Linked DNA regions of Coturnix japonica. The protein of the gene in region 1 interacts with the protein of each later gene in a pairwise test. Links are inferred from orthologs where the notes say so. Each region holds a gene or a part of one and is shown on either strand. Other genes may lie near its edges.

Evidence for each region.
Region 2: the proteins of CINP (region 1) and ATRIP interact in binary tests that used the Homo sapiens proteins (3 or more experiments, as listed by UniProt). The link is inferred for Coturnix japonica from reciprocal best matches to the Homo sapiens genes CINP and ATRIP.
Region 3: the proteins of CINP (region 1) and CLUAP1 interact in binary tests that used the Homo sapiens proteins (3 or more experiments, as listed by UniProt). The two-hybrid records come from large-scale screens. The link is inferred for Coturnix japonica from reciprocal best matches to the Homo sapiens genes CINP and CLUAP1.
Region 4: the proteins of CINP (region 1) and REL interact in binary tests that used the Homo sapiens proteins (3 or more experiments, as listed by UniProt). The two-hybrid records come from large-scale screens. The link is inferred for Coturnix japonica from reciprocal best matches to the Homo sapiens genes CINP and REL.

The regions. Positions count from the first base shown.
Region 1 is NC_029520.1:45,118,947-45,123,077, reverse strand, and holds the start of CINP (cyclin-dependent kinase 2-interacting protein), read left to right. Parts: upstream 1-1,328; 5' UTR 1,329-1,446; coding exon 1,447-1,453; intron 1,454-1,586; coding exon 1,587-1,755; intron 1,756-2,577; coding exon 2,578-2,704; intron 2,705-3,654; coding exon 3,655-3,784; intron 3,785-4,131. Other genes in the region: TECPR2 (tectonin beta-propeller repeat-containing protein 2), read right to left, coding at 1,071-1,142. UniProt on the Homo sapiens protein: Component of the DNA replication complex, which interacts with two kinases, CDK2 and CDC7, thereby providing a functional and physical link between CDK2 and CDC7 during firing of the origins of replication.
Region 2 is NC_029527.1:2,064,610-2,068,125, reverse strand, and holds part of ATRIP (ATR-interacting protein), read left to right. Parts: intron 1-616; coding exon 617-712; intron 713-1,219; coding exon 1,220-1,385; intron 1,386-2,096; coding exon 2,097-2,816; intron 2,817-3,515; coding exon 3,516-3,516. UniProt on the Homo sapiens protein: Required for checkpoint signaling after DNA damage. Required for ATR expression, possibly by stabilizing the protein.
Region 3 is NC_029529.1:11,274,210-11,277,725, reverse strand, and holds part of CLUAP1 (clusterin-associated protein 1), read left to right. Parts: intron 1-411; coding exon 412-496; intron 497-2,570; coding exon 2,571-2,750; intron 2,751-3,516. UniProt on the Homo sapiens protein: Required for cilia biogenesis. Appears to function within the multiple intraflagellar transport complex B (IFT-B). Key regulator of hedgehog signaling.
Region 4 is NC_029518.1:5,501,009-5,504,524, forward strand, and holds part of REL (proto-oncogene c-Rel), read right to left. Parts: intron 2,494-3,516; coding exon 2,345-2,493; intron 1-2,344. UniProt on the Homo sapiens protein: Proto-oncogene that may play a role in differentiation and lymphopoiesis.

The sequences.
Region 1 (4,131 bases):
GCATTTTCTACCTTCTATCCATACAGCCAACTAAACACCAACAACACCTACAGCTGAAGTCTCCTGCTTGCTCCCCTATCCACACTGCTTTGCTGGTTATGCAATTTTAATGCCTCCTGCTTGACTGTTATTCCTAACTGAAACCCAAACTTGGTGCAGAGTCCCCCCCACACAAAACTTCCTCTAACATAAACTGCCATAAACTCCCCAGTTACTGCTTCATGAGCTCCGTGTTTGTTTCTTTAACTCCTCTTTTCAGCTGATATCAGTCCCTCACCATACTAAGATGCTCTGGCACTTTGTGTAAACGCAATCATTTTCCTGCACGGTCTTCAATTTCTAATTACACTCACACATCACATATAGTCTTCTATTTATCATTAGGACCCTATTTAATCTTTGTTAACCAAAGGCGAGCAGAGGGCTGTCCCTGCAGACAGGTGTCAGCAGCCACTTGGAACAAGCACTAAGGATTGCAGGCAACACCTGATGCTGCCCATGGAACACCAGATCAGAGTCCTCCCTTTACAACTCGCAGACAGCACTTAGGAATCGTGTTAAATGAAGTATTTGGAAAGCAGAGCTGTTGCTGCAGAGCTGAACTCCTTGCAGAGGGCTCAGCACAGGGACGGCCAATGTGGGGGATAATCCTGTGCTCAGACAGACGCTCCGTTGGCTCCAGCTCCAGCGTATGTCACAGACTCAGCACAAGAGGCCAAAGCTGTCGCTGCTTTTCTTACCCAGGCATCCTCCCTGCACAGCTCTGTTGTTCAGCTCTTCCATGGGAATAAATCCTTACGTTCAGGCCCTTTGGAGAGGGACAAATTCTGACCTCGGCCACATCCTGCCAGCTACAAACGCTTTTTATTTCCCAACTCTTCTCACGTTTTCAGGTAGTTACCCCCAAATTAACGCACGAGCGGCTCCGAGCTACCCACGAAACGCTGCATTTTGGGCGTCTTTTCACAAAGCAGAGGGTAAAAACAAACAAACAAGAAAGAATTCCGACAGGGACTGCGGAAAGGCCGACCCAGGCTGCAGCCCACACACACACAGGTGCGAACTTTCACCTCCGAGCCCCGAGTTCCCTCAGCCCGGCATAGCGCCCACCGCATCCTCCTCCCCTGGAAACCAGCTTCCATCCGGCGCTCCTCCGCGTTCCTCCCCACAAGCAGCAGCAGGAGGCGGAGAAGCTTTCCCGGCCGCACCATCGCTGTCGGCCGCTCCACCGCGGCTACAGACCGCCGAGGACGGAGGCTGCACGGAGACGCGGCAGCTCTTACCGCGTCAAGAGCCGAGGGCGGTCATGGCTGCCGACGGACGGGAGAGAGAGGACGCAACAACACCCGGACCCCCACGCACCGGCGGCTGCCCCGCTGCCTCAGCGGCTCGGCGGGGCCGGGCCTGGGCGGGGCCGGACGTGAGCGCACTTCCGCGGGCGCCGCTATGGCGGGTGAGTGAGGAGCGGGCCGGTGCTGTAGGCAACGCCTGCATGGAGCCGGAGCGGGATGGCCGAGCCTTTATCTCAGCCACAATGACTTGTTTCTCTATGTTTTCACTGAACTTGCTGTTTTTGTCGTACATAGCAGGAAGTCTTGCTGATGGTACTCCGAGAAGACCTGTCCTATCTGCCAGTGCAAGAAAAATTAAAGATAATGCAGCAGACTGGCATAACTTGATGATGAAATGGGAGAGACTGAATGATAATGGGTTTACTACTGCAAACAAAATAGTCAACATGAAGATCAGTGAGCAGTAAGTACGCTAATAACATATACAAGTGAAGACAGCATGAGGATTGCCTTTCTGAGGAATTACTCTGTTCTCTTCACAATAACGATTTTTTGGAGTTTTATGTGGACAGAAGAAGCTATAGCAGTGATGATTTGGGAAAAAAAAAACAAAAACAACAAAACAAACCCAAAACAATAAAATAATTGTGGTAGAATAGTGTTATCATGCTGTGAAGAAAAACCTTACAACAGGCAGGGTTTTGAGAAGTAGCTTCTGAAGAGTCTGTCAGGTGAACAGAGTTTGTTTGACAGTTCTATCACATAAGGCTCGGGAATATTTTGCTGTGGAGGTGTCAGATGTTGCTTTCTCTCTCTAGCACCTCCCTCTTCTCTGTCAATGTTTACAGGAATGAAAGGCAAGAAGTGGGAGAATCAGCAAGACAAGACACATGCCTGCTCAGTAGCTGCTCTGGTTCATAGTTAAATCTTAGATCAAACTGACAGTGAAAGTGGCTGTGGGGAGGCATCAGGCCTGGCTGGGCCGGTTGAAGCCTGGCATACATTCCCCCTTGTCAGGGACAACGTAAAGTGGGAAAAGGTTTTATCTTAACGTTTGTGAGTGTTTTGGGTTTTTTATGAGCACAGACTGTAACATAGAGACACCCCACGTTCTTCTGAAGGTTACCAGCCTTTATTGCTGATATGGTTAGCTGCGTTCCTTTCTGGTTTTATGTAGGAATTCTCATGAGCAGCCTCTGAGAGATTCTGTGGGATCAGATCACACGGACTTTAAGTCTGCACAGCTTGAGTAAACCTGTATGCCTGCCTTATGTTTCTGTTTTAGATTTCAAGATAACAAACTGGAGATAACCTGTGATAACAGTACCACAGAATCTGAAAAGCCGTCTCCAAAGTACAACAAAGAACTGGACAATTGCTGCACAGAATTACTGGAGACCTTAAAAAAAATGGTAACATTCCTTTTTCAGTCCTAGAAGCAATATCAAGAGTTTTCAAGTACAACATAAGAACATGATGTTAAGGATCTGTTGCAAGCTTAAAATCAGGGATGTTCATTCATACTTCATTGCCTTTAGACCTTTATGATGTAAATCCAGCATGCTCCATTTGTTTGCTTTCTTGATAGGTTTGAAAGCTGTTTATATATATCTAGCTTCTGCTCATAATTCTACTCTCCACTTCTAATGTTACTTATAATGTGATCCTCTGAAAACAAGTCATATAATAATCCATTCTAAAAACGCACTCACTGATGTTTGTTTTCTTATCCCAAATATCCCCTGTTTAGAACAAAGTAAACACCAACTTAAAGTACAGTAATGCTTTATCTGCCATGATATCCATTGCAGCTTTGCTCAGCCCTCATGCAATTACACTTCCAGTCTGCCTACTTCTACTTTCTGTGCAGAGCTCATACTTTCTATGAGGAGCAGAGAAAGATAATTATTCTGCCCACTTTTCTGGATAAATTGTCAGGAATTAATGTCACATTTCAGCGACATTAGACTTTTACAGCCTTTAGCTGTTTCGGAGGATCATTAAAAAGATAATAGATAGGATTTTATACAGACAGGCTACCAGACCAGTATTTAGAATAAGCAGGAGCACTTAGATTTTCCTCAGATTGTGTTCTGTGGGAAAAAGCAAGAGTTATTTGGGTGCTTCCCTTTTTATGCAAAATCAGAATCAGTAATTATCTGCAGCACCTGAAATTTTAGGGTAAATCATTAATTCTCTATATAAGTTCCAGTTTTGAGTCCTATCTGGAGTTAAAAAAAAAAGTGAATTAGAAATGCTAAGACTAACTAAAGTCTTCAGAAAGTGTTTAAAAAATGCTGAAGACTATCATGGCTTAACATTCCCGAGGTACTCATTAGCTTTATGTGTTCATTGTTTCCAGACAAAAATACAGCTGAAAATGGAAAAGCTCTCTTCAACTACCAAAGGAGTCTGTGACTTGGAAGAGTACCACCATGGAGCTGGGGGTTGTACAGCACCCCTGTTTCACTCATGGCCCACAGTGTACTTCTGTAAGTAAATTATTGATCATTTTAGATAAATGCACTTTGTCGTTGAAGTCATCCAACTTAGGACTTTCATATCTGTTTTATATCTGTTTATCCTCCCTTAGGAAGAGAAAGTGTGTGAATCAGTCTTCTTTATAACTGACTGATCAATAAACACACGGGTGCATTACTTGGTTTAGGATTACTGCTGATGACTGCTTGTATGAATTGACAAGCATTGTCTGGCATGCAACAGCCAGACAGTAGCTTAGAACCGAGCTTGTCAGCAGTTTCCAATGCCCAAGCTGCAACAGCCACATCTTTTGTAGAGACAGACAATTTTGCAGTTTGGTAATGTTAAGCTGTTGGCT
Region 2 (3,516 bases), on another chromosome or scaffold:
ACCAGTCAGCTAATGCGTTTTTTATACTCCTGAGGTTTGGGTTTTGATAACCGTTCTCTGTTTTTGGTATTTTATTTTAAATGGTGCATGTTCAGCCATGTTAAACGAGCAGCTGCAGGGCTTCACTCGTTTCCTCCTTTCTGCGTTGAACGGTAAATCTCATACAACTGTACCTTCAAATTCATTGAGTAAAGCCTGGGAAACATATGTATGCATTTACTGTAATACGAAATAAAAACTGCTTTTTATAGCAGCCAATTACTGTGTTGAGACAGTACATTGCCAGTAGGAAAGAATGGGAGAAATTGGGAGGAGGTGTCCCTGCCTGTAGCAGAGGGTTGGAACTAGATGATCTTAAAGGTCTTCCAACCCAAACCAATGGAACATCTGAGGTGTTTCTGTCGGCTGCAGTATTCTATCAGAAACTGTCTGGGCCACGTGTAACAGCAACCTTAGAAGAGTTCCTGTAGTTACTTTTTCAACTCAATAGTGTTTGACACTGCGTCTGTGTTTGTACCTCACAACAGCTATGGCTAATTGAAGGTGTGTAGATGACAGGTGCAGATGTATAAGCAATTATTTCTCGTATTTGAAACATATTCTCTCTTTGTTTTAGACAGTAAGATGCCCCATCCTGAGTTCTTAGCCATGAAGCAAGAAGCAATGGGAAAAAATGGTTCCTGCAATTCTGTACGCCAACAAAACATTCAAGGTAATGTATTTCTGGTAATACAGAAATGGATCAAGATGTAGATCGAGAGGCATCTTTCTACCAGGCTTGGCTGTATTAAGATACTGTGCTGTCTGTTGTGAGGAGAGCAGGGAAAATGTCTATTTATTGTTTCTAAAAGTGAAAAGAGCACATCAGCACTTAGTGTTCAACACGTTATTTCCAGTTCAGAATTGTATCACATGATTTTAATGTCCAGACTGGAACATGGATGTCAAGGCACCAGGATGACTGTGTTTTAATAATCACTTGGATTGAGATGGCTTGCTTATAAAGGGACTGTAGTTGAGATCTCTCTAAATATACCTTGATTCACATTTAAATTGTGTTCTGTGAGGTTTTACGAAGCGATGCATTTCAGATATTATTTTCTTCCTGTATTCTGTCTCGTAAGAGAAAGGAAAATTGATGATGGGGAAAAAATGATTTTTGAGGTTGAGATCACTATTGGTGAGGTAAATCTATTGAAATACTTTGCTGTTGTTGCAGGGGATGGAAAAGCCACTTCAAAGACAATCTCTCCAGGTTCTGCCTTACTGAGCGCCCTGCTGAAGCAGCCCCTTGTCTCTGGGTCCCTGCTGGGACTTTGCCATCTTCTCAGCAGCAACGCTGAGGCTCTGCCAGGAGCTGTGCTGCAGCCCGACCTTGTGGAGACGTAAGGACTGTGTTGAAATGCAACTGATGTGTTCCCAGTATTGTGGCATACTCTGAGAAAGGCGTTCTGTGCAGGACACCTCACTGCGTGTGTTCAGTGCCTTTTGGCTGAGGCCATTTGAGGCAAAACTCGGAACATCCTTCTGCATTTTGGTCATCCATCTTTGGTTATTGTAGGTACTGAACACAGGAGAAACACTAAAATGGAAAGCAGGTTAATTACGTATTAGGGGAAGGCACAGAAATTAGGAAAACTTAGAAGTGACTATGAACTGCTGCCCTTTTTAAGGATATATTTGTGTATATATATAACCTAAATTCTAAATGAGTGCTGTCCTTAAATATGAAATCAGATATAAAATTAACTGTTTGAATGTGGCCTCAAAGATCATGTTTGTTCATCAGATCCTTGTTGTTATTTGTTTGATGTCTGCTTTGTAGAGAGTCCTCTGCTTTGTATTTAACATTTCCTTAGGCTTGTAGGCTGACTAACAGTTGCTGAATTCAGTAGGATAGTTTAGAGAGAAATTAGTTGCTCATGGAACCCAGGTTATACACTGTATTTTAAGTGAGGGTGAACACCATGGTAACTTAGAACTATTTTCCTGCACCTGTTGGCTTAGGGGAACTTCTAATAAAGGTTAACTACACTTTCAACTATATTCTCTACCTTTTCTTTCACTGAGGTATTTTCCTCCTTTTGTTTGGGTAGGCAGTCCACGCAGATGCCTGGCACCAGGACAGCTCAGGAAGAAGTTGCTCCTCCCGTGTCCCTGCAGGAAGCTCAGAAACTTGCACTAACAGGACTGAACTTAATCGCTATGGATGAAGAGCCATATGAAGGGAGCCCAGCAGGAAGTGGGAGTGAGGTTTTGTATTTGAAACGCTGCAAGATCCGAGGAGCTGTGCATCTCTTGCCCTTGGTGGAACACCACATCGGTGCATACTGTCAAGCGGTACAATCAGCAGACAAGTCAGTAAATGCTTCTTGTGGAAACCACTCAGTTGTTTCTTCCAGAACCAGCCCAAGTAATGTATCGAGGAAGGAGGACTTCAGGTTGTCTCTTGAAGAAACAACAGTTCTGTCACTAGGTATTCTTTATTATTTGGCATTTTATAGCTGGGACGTTGTCCACATATTGCTGTCTAACGAGGTGGAAAAAAGTTCTGCTGTTGGAGAAGAACAGATTTCCAAGGCGGACAAAAAAGCACCGTGTGATAATAAAGAAGATGACAGGACACAAGGAGGGCTGCCTGACGCTCCACAAGATGCTGCTAGTGACGTTCAAGCACAACATTCTTTGTTCAAAAAGCTGCTTCAGGTTTTAGCTTTCTCTGCCACAGGGGGCTCCCAGACGGGCAGCATCCTGCAGCAAAGCCTGAAAGTTCTGGTAAAGCTAGCTGAAAACTCAACGATGGACTTGCTACTAAAGTAAGTCAGTAATAGCTTTACAGTGACTTCAGGCTCTTAGTTGTGTAGCAGTTTTCACTGTTGAAAATAATTTGTGCAGGTGGCAGTAGAAGGTGTGATACCTATGGGAGAATGTCGTGTTTCTCAGCTCACCTTTGGGATGCAGTGAAGGATCTCACCACTGCCTTGGCTGCTAATGAATGTGATAATTACCCCAGCTCAATAGTAAGATCTGCTTATCATGCACTTACGTGAAGCAGATGCTGCTGGCTCCTTGCTTGGCTGTCATTTGGAAGTGAGAAAGCTTCTTCAGTCACGTGGTTGATTGGTTTTTGTTATTTGAATTGCTGGGAGATGCATAAGGAATGAAAGCACAAGGCTTCCTGGTTTACTTACTTATTCTATTTCTAATGTATGTTATAATGTTTATAATTCTCATATTCTATTTATAAGTACATGATATATAAAGTTTGTTTATTCTTCTGTATGAAATGCCACTCCTGAAAGTGTGATCTTTGCTCACTAGCAACTAATGCACGGGACCGACGTATGAACTGTGCAGGCTGCCTGCAAAACATAACAGTGGGTATTTTTCAGCGTACTTTATTTCTGGTGTGTAAGCGGAGCTTGTGTTTCGAATGGCTTGACAAGATGTGTGTTATGAAGCAGTGAATTACTTTCAGTTGCTTCTCATTTCTAACTGGGGTTTCTCTTTGGAAGT
Region 3 (3,516 bases), on another chromosome or scaffold:
CCTTGCTTTTAGTTGCAAACATGATTTGAAAGAGATTGGAGTTAAGTTTGGGTTCTGTAAGCTCTTTGTGATTTAAGTAGGAAGTTATTAAGTGTTTCATGGACTTGATTTTGCCAACTCCGTTTTGATCCTGATCAAAAAACCCTGATTGAAAATGTATGTGGTGCTCCAAAGGACCAATTCCTTCTGGAGAAACATCTCAGACTTTACAGCTTTTGCATTTTGGGCACAGCCCCAGTGTGGCACTGTGGGGCCTTGGCAGTCCCAGCTGCACTAGGAGCTGAAGAGCTGTTTTCCAGTCTCATACGTGTTGGTTTTTTTTCCATTTCTTTCTGACTTTGCCTCTCAAGTGAAGTGTCTCCTTAACCCTGCACGTGTATTTCTCATCCAAATCTATGTGTGCTTCCACAGGTATGAGCCTCAGTCTGACATTCCCTCTGATGTTGAGACGGAACAGGACCGGGTTTTCTTCATTAAGGCTGTGGCTCAGTTCATGGTACGTCTGCTTATTTCACACTGAAATGCTTGTTCCATGTTAGCTTGAATGATTTCCCTCTTAATCCCTCATAGTTTCCTTGTGAGGGGTGGCTGAGCTGTATTGTATTCTTGTGATGTATGTCACACTGCAGGCAGCATTGTTTTCTCTCCAAAGTAATTGCGTTCAGGTTGTAAAACTGACCAACGTATTCTGCTCAGGATTAAAAAGAAAAAGAAAAAAATAATAAGAAGATGAAAAGGAAGGGAGAGGGAACTTTATTTTAGAACTTACTAATAGTAAAGCTTCAGTTATTGCAGTGATAGAGGTGATAAAACTCCATCCCTAATCCCGTGTGTGGTTTCATTTAAGTCGTAGGAGTAGGTAGAGTAGGAATATTCCTACTTGATTCAAAGGCTGTTTGGGGCTTGGTGCTCTCTTAGGTTTGTATTTGCATGGCTCCAAAACAAGGCCCTGTGGGGTCCTGCTGTAGTAGTGACCCTAAGCTTGCACAGAGCAGGCTGTGTTCTTACTGAGATCTTGTGCTGTTGCATCTGGCTTTATAAAATTGGGAACTACACATCTAATGCTAAAACAGTATTCATCTTTATCACTTTATACTTTGAGTGGAAGGAAAAGATGAGAGTGAAAGATATAGTGAATCTATTTAAAATAGATGCAGAGGAGATTCTTGCTTATTTACAGATGACTTTGGATGCCAGATTTAGTTGTATGCTTCAGTGGTTATAAACTCTGATGGATGTTTTCATTATGATATTGAATCATACTTCAGCATTCTGCTTTGCGTGCCTTCTCACTTATTCAATTCAGGCATACTTTTCTCAGAGCAAATCTTTTACCACCACTTAGAGTTGCTGTAAGGTAGGTGGCTGCACCTCAGGCTTTCCAGATGTGAGGTTACCAGCCTGAACAAGCAGCGCCATTATGCCAATCTGGGAAACACGTGTAGTTGTATGTGGCTTTTGCCTCTTTTTTTCCTAAATTGTCTTTGAGTGAAATACATTTTTTTTTCTTTTTGCCTGGCATTGATTTTTCTCTCTTGAGGGTGAATGGAGCTGCAATTGGAATTCCTGCCTTTAACCACATCCTTCGTGGTGTGTTGTGTTGGTTTTCTTTGTGTAGTGGATGTTTAACATTTAATGACATACTTCTCTTGAAATTTTATTCCTGCTGTTTCCATGATTCAGGTTTTTTTTTAGTTCCTTTCTTACTGAAAGAGAGGGAAAGAGGACGTGTTTGGCTTTCCATCTTGAATGTTGGTTCAGCTGAGGTCGTGGCAGACAACATTTTCAAAAGCGATTAAGGGTTTTTGTACTGCAAGTCTCATAGTGGCCCTGATCAGAGTGTACAACATCCATAACCTGTTCTGGAGGCTCCAGGGCCTCCTTTCAGCTCTGTGGTTTGCATGAACTAGGTTCAGCCACCTGGCAGGGGATGCGAGAACTACACTCATGTCCATTCTGTGACAAATGTGTGGTTTTGATGATGCTTGCTTTTCTCCTTTGCTATTTTGAAGTATAAAAAGAAGATATTGTAATTTCTAATGTGTTTTTTCCTTTCAGAGATGGAAGGCAAGAGGATGAAGTCAGTAATATTATAACAGGGAATAATTTGAGAAACAATAAAATACTCTGAAGCTACTGCTGGAGGAGAAGGCAGATAAATTAGGATAATTGATCTTATTCTTGTAACTCATTAAGGGTGAAATTTACTTCTCTGCAGCATCATCACAAGACCTGGGCAGCACTTACATTCCACTTAAACTTAATTTGAATTTAAGTGGTGCACAGGGGTTTTGCTGATCTTCACATGGGGAAGAATTAATGAATAGTTTGAGTTTTTTCATTCTGGCAATTATCTGCAAATGTTCTGACATACAGAAAGTACACGCATCTCAGGAAGGTTTCTTTAGAAATGACAGCAATGTGGTTAAGCAAATCTCTTTCCAAACAGGAAGTTTTATCTGTTTAAAGCAGACAGCAGCGCCTCCAGTGTGAGCTTCTGAGTGAAGTAAGAAGGGGTGGATGGAGATTTTGTTGTTTTTTGTGGCATGATGGTTTCTTTCTTTGCAAAGGCTACCAAGGCCCACATAAAGCTCAACACCAAGAAGCTTTACCAGGCAGATGGCTACGCGGTGAGAGAACTGCTGAAAGTCACCTCTGTGCTTTACAGCGCAATGAATACGGGGGGAATGGAGCACACAGACATCATTGAGGAAGACAGCAGCAAATTCAAGTTTGATCTTGGTTCAAAAGTAAGGAAAACTTTTACTTCTGTTGTGGGCGAGAGTGTTGTGTGAGCCTGTGAAAAACAAATGCATCTTCTGAGACTTAAGGAGAGAACGTTCTCACAAGGAAGTTGGTACGGCTTCATCTTGGTTGAGGTTACATAGTACAAGGAAATAGTGGCACCAAATTGGTTATAATTATTTTGAAATGCTGTTAAAATTGTAGGGATGTTGGAGTATGCGAGGATAAAGGTGATTTTTTATCTACTAACATCACTGCAACATACAAGCTTCAGAAATACTGACAGAACATTGGATTTTGGGCCAGTTTGCATTGAGCTAAAAGAGAATATTCATATTATCCAAACAGACATCAAAGCCTTCCAAGCCTTTAAATGCCTTCCTGGGATACTAAAGAAAGCTGTGCTTTGTGCAATAAGAGTTCTTGTTGCTGCTTTTTGTTACTTTTAGCACCTTTTCTATATCCTGATATAACATTTGATTACTTTGTAGCAATGCTCTCCTGTGTCTGCCTATTTGGCAGTAATACTGCTGTTCTTGAAGATGGCAGAACCACAATTATTCCTTTTTATGAGGAAAGCACTTCAGAGAAATCATGAGAAAAACCACTTCTAGATGATCCATGCTCAGTTCTTACACAGTGTCCTGGCTGCATACCTTTTGGTGTATGTACTTCTGCATATGAAAGAGATGTTTCTGTCTGCCATGGGTAGCACATGAACAAACAAGTGGCTCAGTCAGCTTTGATCTGAAGTGCCTGGGATCTCACCAG
Region 4 (3,516 bases), on another chromosome or scaffold:
GCAGTGCAAGTGTCTATTTAACAACTGTCAAACAGAGGACAGGATCAGAGAAGAAACAATCAAGGACCTCAGGAAGCCTGCAGGGTTTCACATAAACACTTGCTGACTGGAAGCAAGCAAGATAACAAGAAGAGAGGGAGAAATAGGAAGAGAAAAAAAAGAAAGGGGAAAAAAAACCAGAACAAAAAACATTTAAAAAAAAAAAAAAGGACCAAACATTAAAACTATGATATCATCCATGTAGAGAGCACGAGAACTATGAAGTAAAAATCTCAGTATGCAGGCAATCACTTGAGCTCCAACGCTGATACTTTTGCTTTGATGTTTGGGACAGAGGGAGCTCTGATCAAGTTCAGGCAGCAGCACAAAGAGCATCAGTCAACAAGCAATACAGGAGGTTTTGTTCAACTAGGATTACACAGGGAACTTAAATAGAAGGCAGCCCAAAATCTGGGTAATTCCAGTTACACAAAATAATTGGGATTTTTTTTTCCTTTGATTGAGATGCCTAGAAAGAGTAAAGAGCTAGAACCACTACCTGCTCACTTGTATTGTATGATGTTCTTCTCTAACGCAGACTCAAAGAGAATGTGAAGACTGATTCACCAGCCACAAGAACGAAAATGACTTGAAACATCCAGATCCAATTATGGATCACGTTGTTCCTTCATCTTACAGCAACCAGTGACTTGTTTTAAAAAAAAAAAACAACGAAGGGTACCAAATGCTAAAAGCAATTCAAAAAGAGCCTCTTCCCATCAGGATCTTCTCTTTCAAGCTGAACTGAAGCTCACCACAGCACTATGTCAAATAAAATGACTTGATACGTGCATATAACAGACATGAAATAAATACAAATTTGCAAAGCAGCTCAGTACTTCTGGCATTACAACCTATAGCTCGTAAAATTCAGGATCTCTGAGGGCTTAAAATGCGCAACAAAGTACCAAGAGGAAAAACAATCATCAGGGTCCTTCTTTCCCCAGTAGATATAATACATAGCCAGAAAAGGTGTTAAGCAATTAGGCTTTATTGCTTTAGATCAGAAGCCACTGAGATGAGAACTCGAAGTAGGATGGGCTAGAACAGCAGGCACTGTTTGAACCTGGGTAAGGAAGCATGATTTGAGAAAGCATGGAGGAAGGTAGTGAATGAATGGTCAGACGAAGGCGAAAGGTCTCCTAACAGTTTAAGACACCTATGATGGCCATGTAGACAAGATGAACTCTTTGCAGGGAGGCCAATGAGGATGATGTTACAATATTCAAAATGCAAGGTAAGTATCTGAAGAGACAGTTCTATCTTTCTCTTATGGTGGAAAAAAATAAATAGGAAAACAGCATTAACTACCATTTACCAGCTAGGAGAAGGTTGAGAACAATGCTAAAAACAAGCAAAAAGAAAACCCGTGTCAGATGTCAGCTGAATGTATCTACTATACGTTCATGATCACTTGAGCCTGAGCTGTACACTGTAGAAGTATCTCCACTATTAAAACAGTTTATTCCACCATCAGACAATTATTATCATTAAACAAACTGTGTGTCTTCAGTTCTCTCCTTTAATACTATTCTACTGACTAAACCCACATAAATACAAAGTAATAAGTAATAAATACAAAATCCTAATATCCTCCTGAACAGCACTGAGAAACATGTTTTATACAACGCCTTAATTCCTCTTTACTACTTCCATGAATAGGTCATTCCCCGGCATACTTGTTCTACACAGCGAGGCTGAGTAGAAACTGTATTTTCACTGAAAAGAAAAAGACACCACCAGAAAAAAATAACCCACCAAGAAAACCCACTTAGCAAACAGAAACAGCAGTGACAATCGCCAACACATTTCTAAACAGGTGACAATCATCAACATCATCTCAACAACATGATATTCAGTGTAAAATTTCTCCTCCCGTTTCCACAAAGTCCAAATACAGTTTCTGTGAAAGACGTGAATTACGTGAGTCTCAGGAAGCATTAATTTGAGTGTTGTCATTAACAATCCTATTAGTCATTATTTTCGTACACTGAATGTAGGAGAGATCATCAAGCTCAAGAAGTGCTAATGAACAGGACTAAAGAAGCAAGTGGAAGAAAGGAAATGGAGACTGACATATGGAGACTGACATATGGAGAGTGAAGACAGGAGAAGAGCAGAACAGAAAAGGAGTGTGTGAAACACTGAAAAAGGAACTAGCTCAAGGAAACCTTTGGACTTATCTCCCAGATGGATTAGTATGCTGCCTTTGCTGAAGCTTACTAACTGCCCTCTTAATTTTAGACATAAGATCAGAATATCGCTTGCACGATTAATCAAATTGCTGAACACCACCACTACTTACGACAGGACTCGCCGTTCGGGCCCAAACTCTGCTTCATAGTAGCCATCTCTGCAGTCTTTTCCGACTAGATCATGAGGGTGTGGCTTGTAGGGTTCATTCTTCGTTACCAATGTAGTTCTAATTTTGACTTTTCCAAAATAGTTCAGAATCTACAAGAATAAGAGAGATTTTCTCAACTTCAGATATCAGGACTAGCAAAGTCCAAGCACATAACAGAAAATACATTTAATCCTAAAATACTGTACGGAAGAAACACCACAAGTAAGGAATTGTAATATTGCCTCATAAAAGAAAAGCCAAGACCATTTCAGTTCTTCATTGGAAATTAAAACAGCTTGTAATGTTGTAAGACCAAAAGAGGACGTATTTCACACCAAGTGTTACAACGTGAGATGCAAAATTCTACCTAGGCAACTGTACACAAATGTTTATTTAAAGAGCGTTCCAGCTCCAAAGATGTTTAGGAAAAAGCTCCTAGAACCTCAGGGATAATCCCTGTGAATGGAACACAAAGGAGGCAGTGAGGATCTCATAAAATACAGCATGACATAAGCCCCTGCCAAGCCTTTCTCTTTAATCTGAAGATGAGTACCCAGTTTCACATTCAGTAAGAGGGGCACTGCGTTCTCCAGCCCCACTAGCGCCTTCAAAGAAGTCAGGCTCTGTGCACATCTCTCAGGCACTCAAGTCTTCCTTCATACTGACAACTATCAGTGAAGCCAGCAAGGTTTGAGTGGGAGTCTAAAAAACAGTTTGACCTAAGATGTTTGAAGTATAACAACTTGAAAACGCTTGCAAGGCTTGCACCAGCACAGGTTGTACAAAGGTGTGGTCTCCACCTCCACTTCCTTCATCCTGTAACTGTTCTTCTTCCTTCAGCCCTTTCTTACCTCTTCCAAGATACTCCATGGATCCATCACACGCTTCTCAATCAGCACCTCAACCTTTCACTTGACTTATGCTCTAACTTCCATCATCTCTCAGTTTCTTCAGTTTCCAATCCAGCTGTCAGTATTCATACACACTACTTACCCTTAAATAAAACTCCAACCGCTCTTTCAGCTTCTTAAATACTGCATTATTTCTCCCTCATTATATACCTAGCCCCTTAAATGTGAAGACCCCTAGCAGCAAATCAACACCAAAGCCTCGTACAGGCTCCAGGGAGGCAG